Linked DNA regions of Lepisosteus oculatus. The protein of the gene in region 1 interacts with the protein of each later gene in a pairwise test. Links are inferred from orthologs where the notes say so. Each region holds a gene or a part of one and is shown in the gene's direction. Other genes may lie near its edges.

The links.
Region 2: the proteins of ccdc33 (region 1) and stk16 interact in a two-hybrid assay, tested with the Homo sapiens proteins (2 studies listed by BioGRID and IntAct). The two-hybrid records come from large-scale screens. The link is inferred for Lepisosteus oculatus from reciprocal best matches to the Homo sapiens genes CCDC33 and STK16.

Annotation. Positions count from the first base shown.
Region 1 is NC_090700.1:59,239,130-59,246,676, forward strand, and holds the start of ccdc33 (coiled-coil domain-containing protein 33), read left to right. Parts: upstream 1-4,501; 5' UTR 4,502-4,602; intron 4,603-5,012; 5' UTR 5,013-5,054; coding exon 5,055-5,325; intron 5,326-6,995; coding exon 6,996-7,462; intron 7,463-7,547.
Region 2 is NC_090707.1:32,206,055-32,213,019, reverse strand, and holds the start of stk16 (serine/threonine-protein kinase 16), read left to right. Parts: upstream 1-3,861; 5' UTR 3,862-3,970; intron 3,971-6,340; 5' UTR 6,341-6,364; coding exon 6,365-6,450; intron 6,451-6,965. Other genes in the region: uncharacterized protein c2cd6, read right to left, coding at 378-467. UniProt on the Homo sapiens protein: Membrane-associated protein kinase that phosphorylates on serine and threonine residues. In vitro substrates include DRG1, ENO1 and EIF4EBP1. Also autophosphorylates. May be involved in secretory vesicle trafficking or intracellular signaling.

The DNA of each region.
Region 1 (7,547 bases):
TTACTATAAAAAAATGTTTTTTAGATAACTTATTACACCACTATATACTGTCTTGGCCAGTTATATTGAGCTGTAGCTATTTGTACATGGATGTGATGCATATTGGAAAAGCATAATGAATCAATACAATTTAAAGGCACTGTCTAAACATAAGTAAATAAACAGCATGGCCAAGTTAAATTAAAAAATAAACAATATCTAATTTGGTTACAGATTTCAGCATCTGCCTTAACCAATATTATGCTTCTAATTCATGAAGGCCGAGTGCCCTGTTTCAATTTTTATACAATAGATTTGAAAAGCTTTTAATTTTAAAGACCAAGTGTAGTGCTTCCATAAAGACATAGCAGTATGTGCCAGCAGGCACCCTGATCACATGACCATGAATTCATCCTGCTATGCCTGTAAACAAAATACTGTAGGGTCTAGGAGGGGTCTATTCTATGTCACAAGTCATTTTTCAATCAACATAATCAATACTCTTATAGCATTGTGAGTAAGATGGAGGCAGTTCTCCCAATTTCAAAAACCATTCTATCCCAGCTGGCCATAACAAACTTTTCATTTCCAATCGTTTGGTTTTTAAAGACATGACCTCAAGCAAATCAGGACACAATTGAGCTCAGCACAGACTTTGAATTCCTTTAATTTATGCAAAAGAAATTAGTTTGTTTTAACGACTGTGGAGCGCAACTCGCCACTGGTGTACACTATGTCTTTGCTTAACAGCAATGCGATTCTCTCTATTGCTCTAACCTTTTTCCAGCAGGGAAAGCTTTTGATCAAAATGACACCAATGCTGTGAATGCAGGAAGATTTATGTTCCCCATAATGACCTCATATCCAACCTAATCATTCAGCTCCTCCAGGGAACAGTTACATTGGCCATTAATAAAACGGGTCCCATGCTGTTTAACTAGACATCCAATTGACAAAGCAAAGCATTTAATTAAAAAAAAAAGAGATAAATATCTCTCTGCCATGATAATATTGTCCACATAACCAGCTGGTAAAATGCTGCCAACCACCGAACTCTGAAATCTAAGTTCTTGAACACTAGATAGAAACAGAACAGAGAAAAACAACCAGGTAACAAATATGTATTTAGCAATCTAAAAACTACAGACATCCACGACACACCTAAGAGTTGTTTAAAAAGTTAAGATAAAATATTTTTACTGTATACTAGACAGGTAAAAACAAAGAAAATTATGACATAAATAATGAACATAGATTACAGTTTCTACAAATAGTTTAAAAAAAACAGATGTGGTATTCCAATTCATGGATCTAACATACCATTTTCTTAACAAAAAATATACAGTAGGTAACAGCCTTAAATATTGGAAAAAAATAATTACTTTTCAAAACTCAAATGGTCACTGTAAATGACCTACTGTAATGTCTAGGTTACTGGTATACTTTGAATATGATAGCTATGGATATGACACGAATATTATACTTTGATTATGACAGACCCATCCACTATCAAAGGTTTCCGTTATCTCACTACCTTCAAAGATTTGTAAAGATTTATTTTCAATGCAAATTAGTTCTTGATAAACACGTGACCATTACATAAAAGGGTGTTAGTGTACATGAAACACCCAGTGTTTATAGAGATATGTAGAGGTCCAAAAGATATTTTACACACAAAAGCGCAACTTTACAAAACAGCACACTTCTCTGGCATAGGGAATCATGTGGTGAATCCTATGCTGAGAATCTGACTGCTTCTCTATTGTCTGTCCAGATAGAATAGTGACAGATTCCAACAAGTATGGTATGCTTCAGGTTTAAACTCACTCCCATAGATAACATCCGGCAGTAAAATACGTCTTTTTCCATCTTACAGTTCTCCATTTACCACATAAATTAGGCCTTACATATTTAGGTGTTATTTACAAAAGTCAAACGTCTTTCCCCTTGCAGAAAGCATGCAAGCACAACCCCAAATCACCATCTCCTCTGATGTACTGTAATATGCAGCAATAAAAATCCTGTTCCTCAGCCACAGAACAAAGGACTTCAGTTGTGCTCCTGATTCAGAATGTATATACATTACTTTTTCAATAAAGAGACCAGACAGTAAGCAGAGCTACTGCCTCTGATGTCTACTGTTTGATCTTCTGCAGATCCCAACAATGGGCCTTTTTATTTTTATGGTCTGAAAACTAGAGGGGAAAAATCGTCACTCGGATTTAGCATTGCACAGGTGAGCATGGAGAACTCTCCCTCACCCCGCCCCGCTCTCAAACTTTCTGAAACCTCTGCGGTAGCTTTGACTGAAGCCGACTTTGAAAACCACATCAGAGACAATCTTGCTTTCATTAAAGGGATGCTTATTATGTGACCTACAGTATGTGCTCATAAGCAATTCACAAGCTTACAGTCCCCATGTTTGTAACGGATGGGTAGTTACAGTTGCTGCCAGAAGCCGTATCTTTCTGGGAGTTGTGTGAAAGAGGGTGGCACGAAACTTGGCTACGGTTTTCCCGTTTTAAGTTTCAGTGGTACATAATTCTCTCAAGAACACGACATTACGAATGACATTTAATACCTGTTCTAACAACATTCGCTATCGAATCCATAGCGTTTTAACACCACACAGAACCGAAGTCGTTGTGATATTTAACACAAAATCACAATTTTAAGCTTTCTGCCAAGACAATGTCTGTTCGGTTCGGGTAGTACTGTATGCTCTGTGTTGACGAAACTATCGACTGCATTGTGCGTGTGTTGTTTTCAAAGACTACCGGATGAGCTAAAGTAATAATACAAAGGGCTATGTTACTAAAGTAATTATTCATAACATATCCTTAAATTACACTTGAATACATGTCAGTTACAAAAAAACAACAACACGTCTAACTCGCTTAACTAATTCTAGTAATCTCGGCATTAAATCACAGAAATGATATTAACACATAAAACGAATTCTATTAAGGGTGGTTTAATAATTTTAATTTGAATGAGAATTTTATATAAACCATGTTTGTTAACCCCCCTTGTCATGGATTTCGTTCTCGTTAGTCTCTTTATTGGCTATAAAATCTGGAGAAGTTAAAAAAATCAGACGGCTGCTTCTAAAGATTTAGTTGGCCAGGTAATTTGGAACACTCTTTACTCAATAAGCAACTTGATAATCATCGGCTTGCACTGAACCCAAGCTTAATTATGTAAGAATATAAAACAATCAAATGTAAATAGTTAAGTACAGTTATTGTTGTATAGTAATTTTAGCTAGAATTAACATTCTCTTTAAGATTGTTGGTATTAAAAAGTGTTTTAATGGAAAAATTCACCCACATTTAGACTATAAACATACTGTATAAAATCAATATCGTTAAGAAAAATTAGAAAATTAATCTGAATGATAAACATGTCTTTTTTACATGAAACTAATTTAACGGTGAACACGTGGATAAACAATTTCGTGTAGACTAATCATTGATCACGTAATAATTCACTCGCTATCAACACCTATTCTGTTTACTCGGCACATTCAGAAATGCTGTGTGCTTCCCAAACACATGCGTGCAGTTTCAGGTAAAAGGAAGGGTATGCGATTTATTTAAATCACAAATTAGTTACTTTAAAATAGCAAAGTCTTTACCTGTCATTCCCCGCTTACCGGTCATTTGTTTTTGCGCAGACAATAGTTTCTAAAGAAGCACTTTATAATTTCAAATTAACCTTCCATAATACAAACGAGTTTGGACGAAAAAAAGTAATAAAGTCCACATACGAAGCTCCCAGCATGTAGTTCATAGGTCAGAAACTTGTTTGCTAGTGATCTTCAAGTCACATTGTCAGCGCACATGATGCAATCTCAGGTGAAACTTTAAACTATGTCCACTGTCGCTGTGAGCACACAATAGCGCTAAATAACCGGATTAATTAAATAAGGTTACTTCACTGACACCTGATGAATATACATCAAGTCAAAAAAAAAAGGTGTGGCTTTTATCAGTCACAAAGGAACTGATACTCTAAAAGCACAATAGGTTAGTGTTTGATCGATATGTAATACTTTTAATTAGCTACTACCAACCAAATGGGCTGTGTAGGCCTCCTTTGAAACCTCTCTTATGTTTCAGTTTATATTAATTTTTGTAAGGTAAACCTACACTATACATGTACACCGCTGTAACCTAGAAACTCTGGCGTTTGAAACCTTAAATGTACTGTAGAAGGCTGTAGCTGATTAAGAAATGCAAAGGTGAAAACTAAAAAAACTTTGACTCCAATCGGTCTCACAGTCTCCCCTTTTGAATGTCATTGGCATTTTTCCCCTAACTGTAAGATGTAAATACAATGTGAAAACTGATGGATCATATACTGTGCATTGGCCTTTGTTCACAGTGGAAGTAGACACGACACATTGTGTATCACTGAGGTTTGTTGAAAGGAAACAGCTTCATTCAAATCACCTGCATTGTTTGCTTCCAAGACACAGTGGGATTGGCTTAGTGCTGGCTTCCTTAGCTGCAAGCATAACAAATGTCCAGGTGAAAACTTTCAAAACCTGACCTGCAGCCGATCTCACAATCTCCCCCTTTTACGCCAACCTTTTGTTCCAGTTTCAGAACCGACAGAAAGGTGAGATTCTCTGATGTCTGGTGTTTGTGTATTTCTAGAAGTAGAATGAAGTCCTGGATGATTGTTTAGCCTGGTAACCGGGGCGTGCATTGTATAATTTCAGCTTGTTTTCTCCTCTCAAAATCAATCTTTTCATTTTTTTGTCTACTTGTTTCTATTATATATTACTGGAATGTATTATAATGGCCGTTGTCAGAAATGATCACGTCTTTTACTGTTGTGTATCCTTCACAGTGATTGCTTTTGCCTTCAGATACCAGTGTGGACAAGATCCATTTTGCCAAACTAATTTATAAAGTACAGCTGTTGGCAACTGGTACAGTTACTATCTGAAATTGTGCTGTGAATACCATATCATTTTAATCTTTCTCATGGGACAAAAAGTAAAAAAGCACATGCCTTTTTTGTAGATTTTTGTTACTGCCCACAAGTCCACCCCTGGACGGGCAGCGATGCAGAGAAGTCGTCTCAAGATCGAGGAGAAGGAGCTGGACTTTGAGTTTGAGGTGGTGAATGTTCAGTTCAACGAGCTTGGCAGTTACGTGCTGAGGCTGACCGTGGAGAACCCCCTGCTGGAGGACTGTGGGACTGGCGTGCAGCTGAGGGTCAATGATGGTGACGTCCTCTACACCAGCACTGGGACCACTGATGTCATTGAGCAAGCCAGCCTGGATGAGATCTACACCTGCCTTCGCTACAAGTTTCTCTTCACCCTGCCCAAAGGTACTGCAAGCATCCACATCCTCAATCCAGGGTGATTATTACATCGTTGTGTGCATGAAAGTACAGTATGCAGCCATGTCTTAACTGATTGTCCCCTGATCCTTTTTGAATTTTTATTATGTAATATGACCTTAATTACCTTAATGGGTAAAATTACCTAATTGGTAAAAATTGTTAAATGGACAAGCTGAGACCTCTTTCCTATTCTTAAAAATATGGAGATTTTAAAGAAACCTTTCTGTAAAACCTGCTGGACTTGGGCTGTTAATGACCAGAGTTGGATCCACTACACCCCTGCTATAGTGTCAAAGAGTCCTTTTTTTTAGCCAAGTAATGTGAGTATCTTAAATGGATGAATAGGCTTGAATGCGAGAGTCGTCTTTCTACTTTTCAGCGCCAAATTAACCTGGTTGTTATATGGATATTTTTTTTGGCTGAGGCTGTGGCTTTGTGTCTAGGTGTACAGGCAGAGAACAGTGTGGTGCCACTAGGCTTATGAATGGTTTTGAAGACCTAAAACTGCTAAATGTAAACGTTTTAACTTAAGTGGCAGTGAGTTGATTGCTATGGCTGAAAAAAATAAAATCAAAATGTCCGACAATCTGCTGTATGACTGATTTAGAAATGGATAATTGTAACCTAAGAAGAATGAAATATCAGATAAAAGTACAGAATCTCTACTGGAGTGTTGTTTGCAGTTTGTTTTGAATAAATCTGGCTATGAATTGATATTCCTGATCATTTCAGCCATGCATCTTAAATCCATTAAAAAAAACTGCTGGTAAGATCTTGCTGCATTTCTCTAGAATATATCACTACTGACAAGTTCCTCTGTCTCTCACACACACCTTACAGGAGAGGTGAGAGCTCCTCTGTGTTATAACGAAAAGTTAATTAATGCATGTCACTGCTGTTTCAAGAAATTCTAATATAACACGCTTGTCTGAAATGGCTGTAATTACATGGAACACCTCTGAACATGTTCACTAACGAGCAGTGCTTTTTAAAAATAGAATAATTTTCAATATTTTTTCAAATCTGTATCCCTGTATGAAACGTTGTTTGAATTTGAACATGAGTTACCCAAAAATAAATTTGAGAAAAGATTTAGAAATATCATATTGGGGATATTTGGAAAGTTAAATGGTTAATTGGTAATAGTTAAAATATAGGGAAATGTGATAATATTATTTTTTTATTGTCCTCTGAAATCTTCATTTTTGTAATGGCAACATTTTTAAGATCAATCGTCTGGTGTAAAAAGGTGTTTCTTGCCAGAAGAAAATTGCGTTCAGAGATTTTTTGCAGTTTAATTTTTTTTTTTGCTGTCGTCTCCAAATTTGATCTTGTCATGGTTTAATGCGGGTCTTATGTAAAGAAAAAGAAATATGATTATCGCAATAAATATTTTAAAATGGTTCCCTTTTAGCTTAAAAAATTCACATCTGACTATTGCTTCATGGTTTATGAATAGCTCCAAGCCTCGAACTTGAGAAAGTGAGACACAGAAACTAGATTCACAGACCATTAACGGGCTCCGTTGACTCCTCATCCTGACCAAACAGATGCAAAAGATGTGGATCCTGATGATTTTGTCGGATGCTTGCTTTAATTCGGGAATTTGGAATTGGAATTCCAGTTTGTGTTGGTTCTTCCTTGTACATTTCCAGGTTTCTGCAAGAATGATAAAAACCACGACGTCAGGCTGAAGGTCGAGGCCTTGCGGCTCACAGGCTTGCAGCCGAGCAATGGCACCAAATCCGGCGAAGCTTTCTTCGCCATCTACCCGCGCACCAACGCGCCCCGCAGCAACCTGTACGCCCGCCGGGACGAGGAGCTGTACCAGTACAGCGGCATCATGGCCCTGCTGCGCGTCCACACCGACTACCTGGCCATGCACTGCGGGCGGCTGGCCTACGCCGTCTCCTTTCACGAGTCCAGGCCGCTGCCCGAGGGCCGGGCCAGTGCCTCCCGCATGCCCTCCATCCAGGAGGAGGACAAGGGCGGGGCGCCTTCACCGGGTCCCTCGACTCTCCAGGTGCCTCCATTAACCCTCGGGCCCTCCCAGTCCCCGTCCCCCGAAAACACCCCGCCTCAGCCCACGGAGCCTGCGCTTCCTCAGCCTCCAACTCCCCAGGTAGAGAAACGGCCCCACTTGAACCTGCTCTGAAAGTGACCAGTCCCGCTGCGGTTGTTGTCGTGTGTTTCCTGCTCCTTTTCTG
Region 2 (6,965 bases), on another chromosome or scaffold:
GGTGAGCGCCCCCTGGTGGCCCCACTAGCACCTCTTCCAGCAGCAACCTTAGTTTTTCCCAGGAGGTCTCCCATCCAGGTACTGACCAGGCTCACACCTGCTGAGCTTCAGTGGGTTGCCTGTTGTGAGTTGCAGGGTGATATGGCTGCTTGGCTTGGAATGAGATTGTGAAACAGTGGGTTTGGGAACGCAGCGCCGTTTGCGAAGGAGAGTGTGAGACGTGACACTTTTCCTTCTTTTTCTTTTTCCGAAAATCACAGGGTTGGTCACAACAAGCTGAGAAGTAAAACACACACAATTGCTGATTCCAAATCACAAGGGTACCTCAAAAGAGTCTAGATTTGTATGAATAAATCCCAGTTGAAGAGTTTCTTTACCTTGAGAAGGCCACTTGTGGCTGTGGTCTTTGAAGAGCCCAAAGTCCCTGTGGACCCTGGCTGCTGTGATTCCTCTCCAGTCACATCCATGGGCAGGCTGTCGGCCCTCTGTCTCTGATGCTGCGCTAACTCACTTCTGCTTGTAAGAAACTGAGATGTGTGGGAAAGCCCTCAGAGAACAGCAAAAATCAAATCCGCTACTTCAGAACAGGACTTCTTAAAAGGCTAGTGGAGGACATCAACGTAATATAATATAAACAACTGTATATTAGAAACACAGGCAATGCAGCATTTATTGAAAGCCAGCAGCTCACGGCTTCTGTTGCTAACTGAACAGCTGGTTTAAAAATAAACAAGTGAGTTACAGTACATGATCTGTTCATTCACATTCACCAGTTTAGTTTCCCACCACACAGGACAATAAAAACTTCCCGAAAACATTAACCACAATGAAGTATAATAGTACCATTAATTGTAGTAAAAGAAACCCCTCACTTTAGTAGTTACTTTTAATTTTCTTTTTGCTTCGTGCAATATTATTTCTTTGTGAGACTTTATTGTTTTAACTTTTAGTTGTCCTCTTATTATTCGTTTGTAAGTTTTGAGTCTTCATTTATTTCTTGTACTTGCCTGTGTGTATTTATATTTCATAATTACTGCTAACATTAAAAAGTTCAACTTGGAGAAGAAAGGAGTTTCATTTCAGACTTCCAGACTTAACAATTTCCATTTTTTGTTAACAAATACTGATAGAATGAATCTTACTCACATGTTTATTATTCTTATTCAAGTGTTCGTTACTTGTCCTAAGTTTTTAGTTTTTTTAAATGAAACAACTAAAATTTTAGAATTAATTTGACAATTTCCATTTCATTTATGCTCCAAAATTTTTTAATTGGTGACTTTTCCCATTTTATACTGATACCTTTTTAAATTAAAACTGTTTTATCAATTTAGTCGTATCAAAAATACGTTGTTAATATTGCTCTGTTTTCCGTATTGGACTAAGATAACATTAGATAATCTTAGTATGGAAATACTGACATTCAAAATGGCAAGTATACTGGATTTTCAAAAATGTAGGATTTGATACATTTCAGTTTATATTGAAATGTTTATAATAAAAAAATGTTTATTTCTGTATAGTACTGTATGATTATACATTGTAGAAATTTCCTAAGTACTGTATATAAACTAGCTATGAATTAATTGATGTTTAAGTCTTTTTTTTTGGGGGGGGGGTTCTACCTTTTGTATTTTTTTTTGCTTTGTTAATGCTTGGAATACATGGTGAAAAAGTTTCCATTAACCCTCTTGGTCTCCTTCCCACAGGACGAGGAGACTCGGGCTCCATTCAGACTGACTGAACCAAGGGGCAGCTGCAAAGTGGAAATGGGGTGGGGTAGGGGGTGCTTGTTACAGATAGTCCATTTAGAGCGCTTTACAGGTAATGGGGACTCCCCTCCACCACCACCAATGTGCAGCCCCCACCTGGATGATGCAACAGCAGCCATAGTGCGCCAGTACACTCACCATACACCAGCTATCAGTGGGGAGGAGAGCAGAGTGATGAAGCCAATTCAGAGATGGGGATTATTAGGAGGCCATGATTGGTAAAGGCCAGTGAGAAATTTGGCCAGGATGCCGGGGTTTTCGAGAAACATCCTGGGATTTTTAATGACCCCGGTTTTACGTCTCATCCAAAGGATGGTGGCTTTTTACAGCATAGTGTGCCTAATACTGGGGCATTAGGACCCACACAGACGGCAGGGTGAGCTCCCTTATTGGTCCCCCTAACACCTCTTCCAGCAGCAACCTTAGCTGGTCTTCAATCCAGGTACTAACCAGGCTCACACCTGCTGAGCTTCAGTGGGCTGCCAGTTGTGAGTTGCCGGAGGATATGGCTGCTGGCAGAAAGGGAGGTATTGGAGTTCAGTATATTCAGCCAATTTCTGTAATGATGGTGATTAATTCCAGCTGTGTGAGATTGATTTGTCATTGTTTGCCCTCCTGAACTTCAGTTAATAACTTATATACTGTAAATGAAATGTAATTCTGTAAATACTAATATAATCAATTTCAAAAACAAATATTGTGGTTCTCCAGCCACTATGTTATTTAGTCAGGGACCAGTACTTACAGCACATTTCACCCTTATCTTATCCACTGTATTTTGTAAAGTTTTAGAAAGAAGTAAGACAGTTGTCCATCAAGGAGTAGTTAAATGCCACTGAAGAAACAGAACAAACTGCGGAAAAGTATAGTGACTTAATGTAGCACCACATACAGAATATAGCAGGACACCCACCCACTTTTGACAGGTTTGGCTCATTGTACCCTCACTCATAAAACTCTCCAAACATAACACATTTAAAACATAGAAAAATCAATTGATTAAGCAGCACAGGATTAATTCCTTAACCCCATTTTGCCCGCGCTACAGTCTTCTTAGTTTTGAAATAGCTTTGCTGTAGTATGCAATAATTTAATCTCCGTTTCATACAATGACAATTGTTCATGAATGGGACCATTCGCAAACTGTGCTATGGTTCCAAATGAATTTTGGCTATTAAATATGTTGTAATTATTGAATACTTAATATATTGTATTGTAATTGAATACTCCGTAACTACTATTGAAAATGGATACATTTTCAAAACAATATAAACCGTTTTTGCATAGCCAGATGTTTATTTGGAAACGTGTTGACATAGGATGTCCACAAATATATACTGTCTGAACCTACACGTGCATTCTATCAATAATGGCAAACGCTAACTGGGTTTTAAACAATACAGTACTACGCTTGCCCTCCCCAACATCTCGACAACAGCCATAACCTTTAGAAACTCACAACTGGCAACCCACTAAAGCTCAGCAGGTGTGAGCCTGGTCAGTACCTGGATGGGAGACCTCCTGGGTAAAATTAAGGTTGCTGCTAGAAGAGGTGTTAGTGGGGCCAGCAGGGGGTGCTCACCCTGCGGTCCATGTGGGTCCTAATGCCCCAGTATGGTGATGGGGACGCTACACTGTAAACAGGTGCCGTCCTTCGGATGAGATGTAAAACTGAGGTCCTGACTCTCTGTGGTCGTTAAAAATCCCAGGGCGTTTCTCGAAAAGAGTAGGGGTGTTACCTTGGCCAAATTTCCCATTGGCCCTTACCAATCATGACCTCCTAATAATCCCCATCTATGAACTGGCTTCATTACTCTTCTCTCCTCCCCACTGAGAACTGGTGTGTGGTGAGCGTTCGGGAGCACTATGGCTGCCGTCGCATCATCCAGGTGGGGGCTACACACTGGTGGTGGCGGAGGGGAGTCCCCATTACCTGTAAAGCGCTTTGAATGGAGTGTCCAGAAAAGCGTTATATAAGTGTAAGCAATTATTATTATTATTACTATTAACATGAAATGTGTGAAATGTGTGAATGAGAGTTACTGTGTGTTTAAAACAGAGGCGGGGTCTCTCCAGTCGATGACGCGCTGGCCGCAGGAGGAATTTCTCTACCCGGAAATCATCTGGAGGTGAAGATAAAGCGAGAGAGACGGGAGAGAAACGTTTAAAAGGACGGAGATATAACATTCTGTCCCACGGTAACGTTAGATCCAATGTGTTTTCTTTCGGTGGCGGTCTAAATCATTCACTGCACGAGATTATATCCGACTGGTTATAGATTTAAGTAACAATTCCTCTTCCCGGTAGACCCTGCTGCTGCTACTACAATGTTAGATGCTGTCGCTATGATTTAAAACTGCGATGTACGTGCCACGTTAGCATTAAACCATATAGGTCTTTGCGTTCAGCCCAAAGTGGGATGTTTTATATGCGCACTGTGTAAGTTTTTTTTATTTCAAATGAATGTGCGGAATTTACACCCGTGTCGTAACACGCACGTTCACATAAGTAATATGTCATTTGTTTTTAAATAAGGGCTATGAATTATTCACGATGGAGCGCAACCGATGGGTTCAGTTACAGTTAATGCATAAAAGGGTAGTTTCTTTTAAGCGCCACCTTAATAGAAACGCTACATATTGAAGTTTCTTGTGACATAGAAACCGTGTTTTAAGGAAAAGTTAATTTTTATAGTATTGTTATTTTGGTACTACGTTACTCATTTGTAGTAAAAACCAGCAGGAGACAATCGTGTGCATCAGTCAGCACAGCTCTTGACGCGCTCAAATAACAAATTTGGTTATTTTTAGTCATCGTATTACATGTATATTCATTCAGTACTATTACTGAAATGATTTGAAGAAATAATTTACAAACTTTCAAATATACTAGAAAATGTCACTGTGATCCAGTATTCTATGGATCGTGGATAATGTGTATTCATCACAAACACGAGTCTTGCACCACTCATTTTATACTTTGTTTATTCAGTTAGATATCTCTTTATGCATGTGTTCAGAAAGCCTGGCTATTGGTTGTTAGGTCAGCTCGTCAATAGAAGAGTACTGGTTCACAGTTTGGACTGGCATCATATGTACAGTAACTGCATGTTATTCCAATGCATAAACAGGATGTAGTATTAGTGTTTAGGGAGTGTAGTCTTTATCGGCTAGTCCTGGTCAGGGAGATTCACACAACTGTGTGTTTTTGCTTCAGCCAAGATGAAAGTTACACCATTTAATGTGTAATTGACTTGATAACAGGGTGGATTTGAACTGTGTGACTGTTTTCTGCTTTAAGACCTATTGAAGATAGACATTTAAAGTACTGCATTTTCCTCATTAAGATCAAATCCCAAACAAACTCTTGAGTCTGGGGAGGGGGGAATACTTGTGCGATTGTTACAATCCAGCAGTTTATTCATTCAATAAAGGCTTCTAGGAGGTCATTAAGCTCAACTGGAATGAAGATCGGCAGGTGTGTGAGATTGACCACCCCTGGACTCTACAGCCTGCACCAGCAGTCGGAGCAGCTGTGAAGCAGTGATCCAGGGTAGCCTCCTGACAGTAAACCAAGCTCTTGGGTTTCCAAATGGATTCTTTAATTGACCTAATAACACGATTGATTCAAACCATTTGATTTGTTTTTAGCTCTTTAGTGTGTAGGTGGTTGCCCTTTAACTACTGCATTTCATTGCCATAAAATAAAAAAGTAGAACAACAAAAAGAACTTTGACAGATTGGCAATCGAGTGCCTCGTTAGTTCCGTTAAGTCATTAAGCTCGGCTGGAGGGAAAACCAGGAGGAATGTGTTCTGAGACGGTAGTGGTGAAAGCTTCCTGGAATAGGCATTTTGAGGAAAAACGCCACATCTCTTCAAAATGAACCCCTCTTCTGAGAAGAGGATAAATAGGGATAGCATCCCATATTTTAAACAATTTTAGGTGTTACCTTTTTTGTTAGTTGTCTCTAGTTTAGAAAGCATAAATCTTTTCTTGTCTTGATTTAAATGCCTTTAAAAGAGATGGTCTGCCTTTCGTTTATCCTGTCCTAGCATGCAACTGGTGCAAGGCAGGACACGCCCCGGGCTGGATGCCAGTCCAGTGCAAGGCAGGCAAACAGACGCAGAAGAAGACGTGCACACACTCACGCTAGGGCCTGTTTTAGCTCCAGTATTAATTAATTAACCCTCCAGTATATCTCTGTGGGAGGAAACTGGAGAACATACGAACTCCACACAGATAGCACCGCCGTTTCAGAATTCAACCCAGGGCCCCAGCAATTTGAGGCAGCAATGCTAACCATTGAGCCCCTGTGCCATCCCCAAGAGGAAACTGTCATTTTAAAATATAAGTTTAGATTCCAAAAGAGAGTCCTCTGCCTCTGAAGTCAAGAGGTTGCCCAGGGCTAACATCTGAACTGTGCTGATCAGCTTCGACGTCCTGGCTAGCTGCTCTGCCTGTGTGGTTCGTGAATGTAGCACTCGCTCGAGTAAATTAACACTCTTGAAGCCAGTTTTTCTGCTTTTGCACGAATGATCTAGAACCCATGTGCTCTTTCTTTCCTCAGTGATCAAAGGATGTTACAGGGACCATGGGCCATGCCATGTGTATCTGCTCCAGAGGAACTGTCACCATTGAGAACAAGCGCTATTACTTCATCCAGAAACTAGACGAAGGGTAGGGAGCACCGGCTGGGCTGGGGTCTTCCCTTGGGGCCGTGATAGTGGATCAAACAGAAAAGAGGAACAAAATGGAGGGCAGTGGGTGACGGTTGGAGACCGTTCCCTCTCAGCTATGTCCGTGCGTGCGCGCACACAGGTTATACAACCAGGAAATTAAACTGCACACAAAAAATTAAATTCCCCCTAAAGTCCGATGATAAAACAAACACGGTCATCAATTGAAAAATGCTTAATTGACCACATGAGACAGCAAGAGGTCCAGCTTGGCTGTGTGCGCATTATTATTGCTACTCGATGACCGACATCTATGCTCTCGTAGTCTCGTACCTCCCTGCTCATGCAGGGAGCCAAGCCGACTGGGCTCGGTGAATCACTGTCCTGGTCTTTTGGATCTCTATGCTTCTATGCTTCTATGAGGATGACTATATTAACAAAAAATAATTTCAGGTTGGCAATTTTACATACACTCAATGTAGTGCACGCAAGCTTTTGTCACTGGGGAAAAAACGT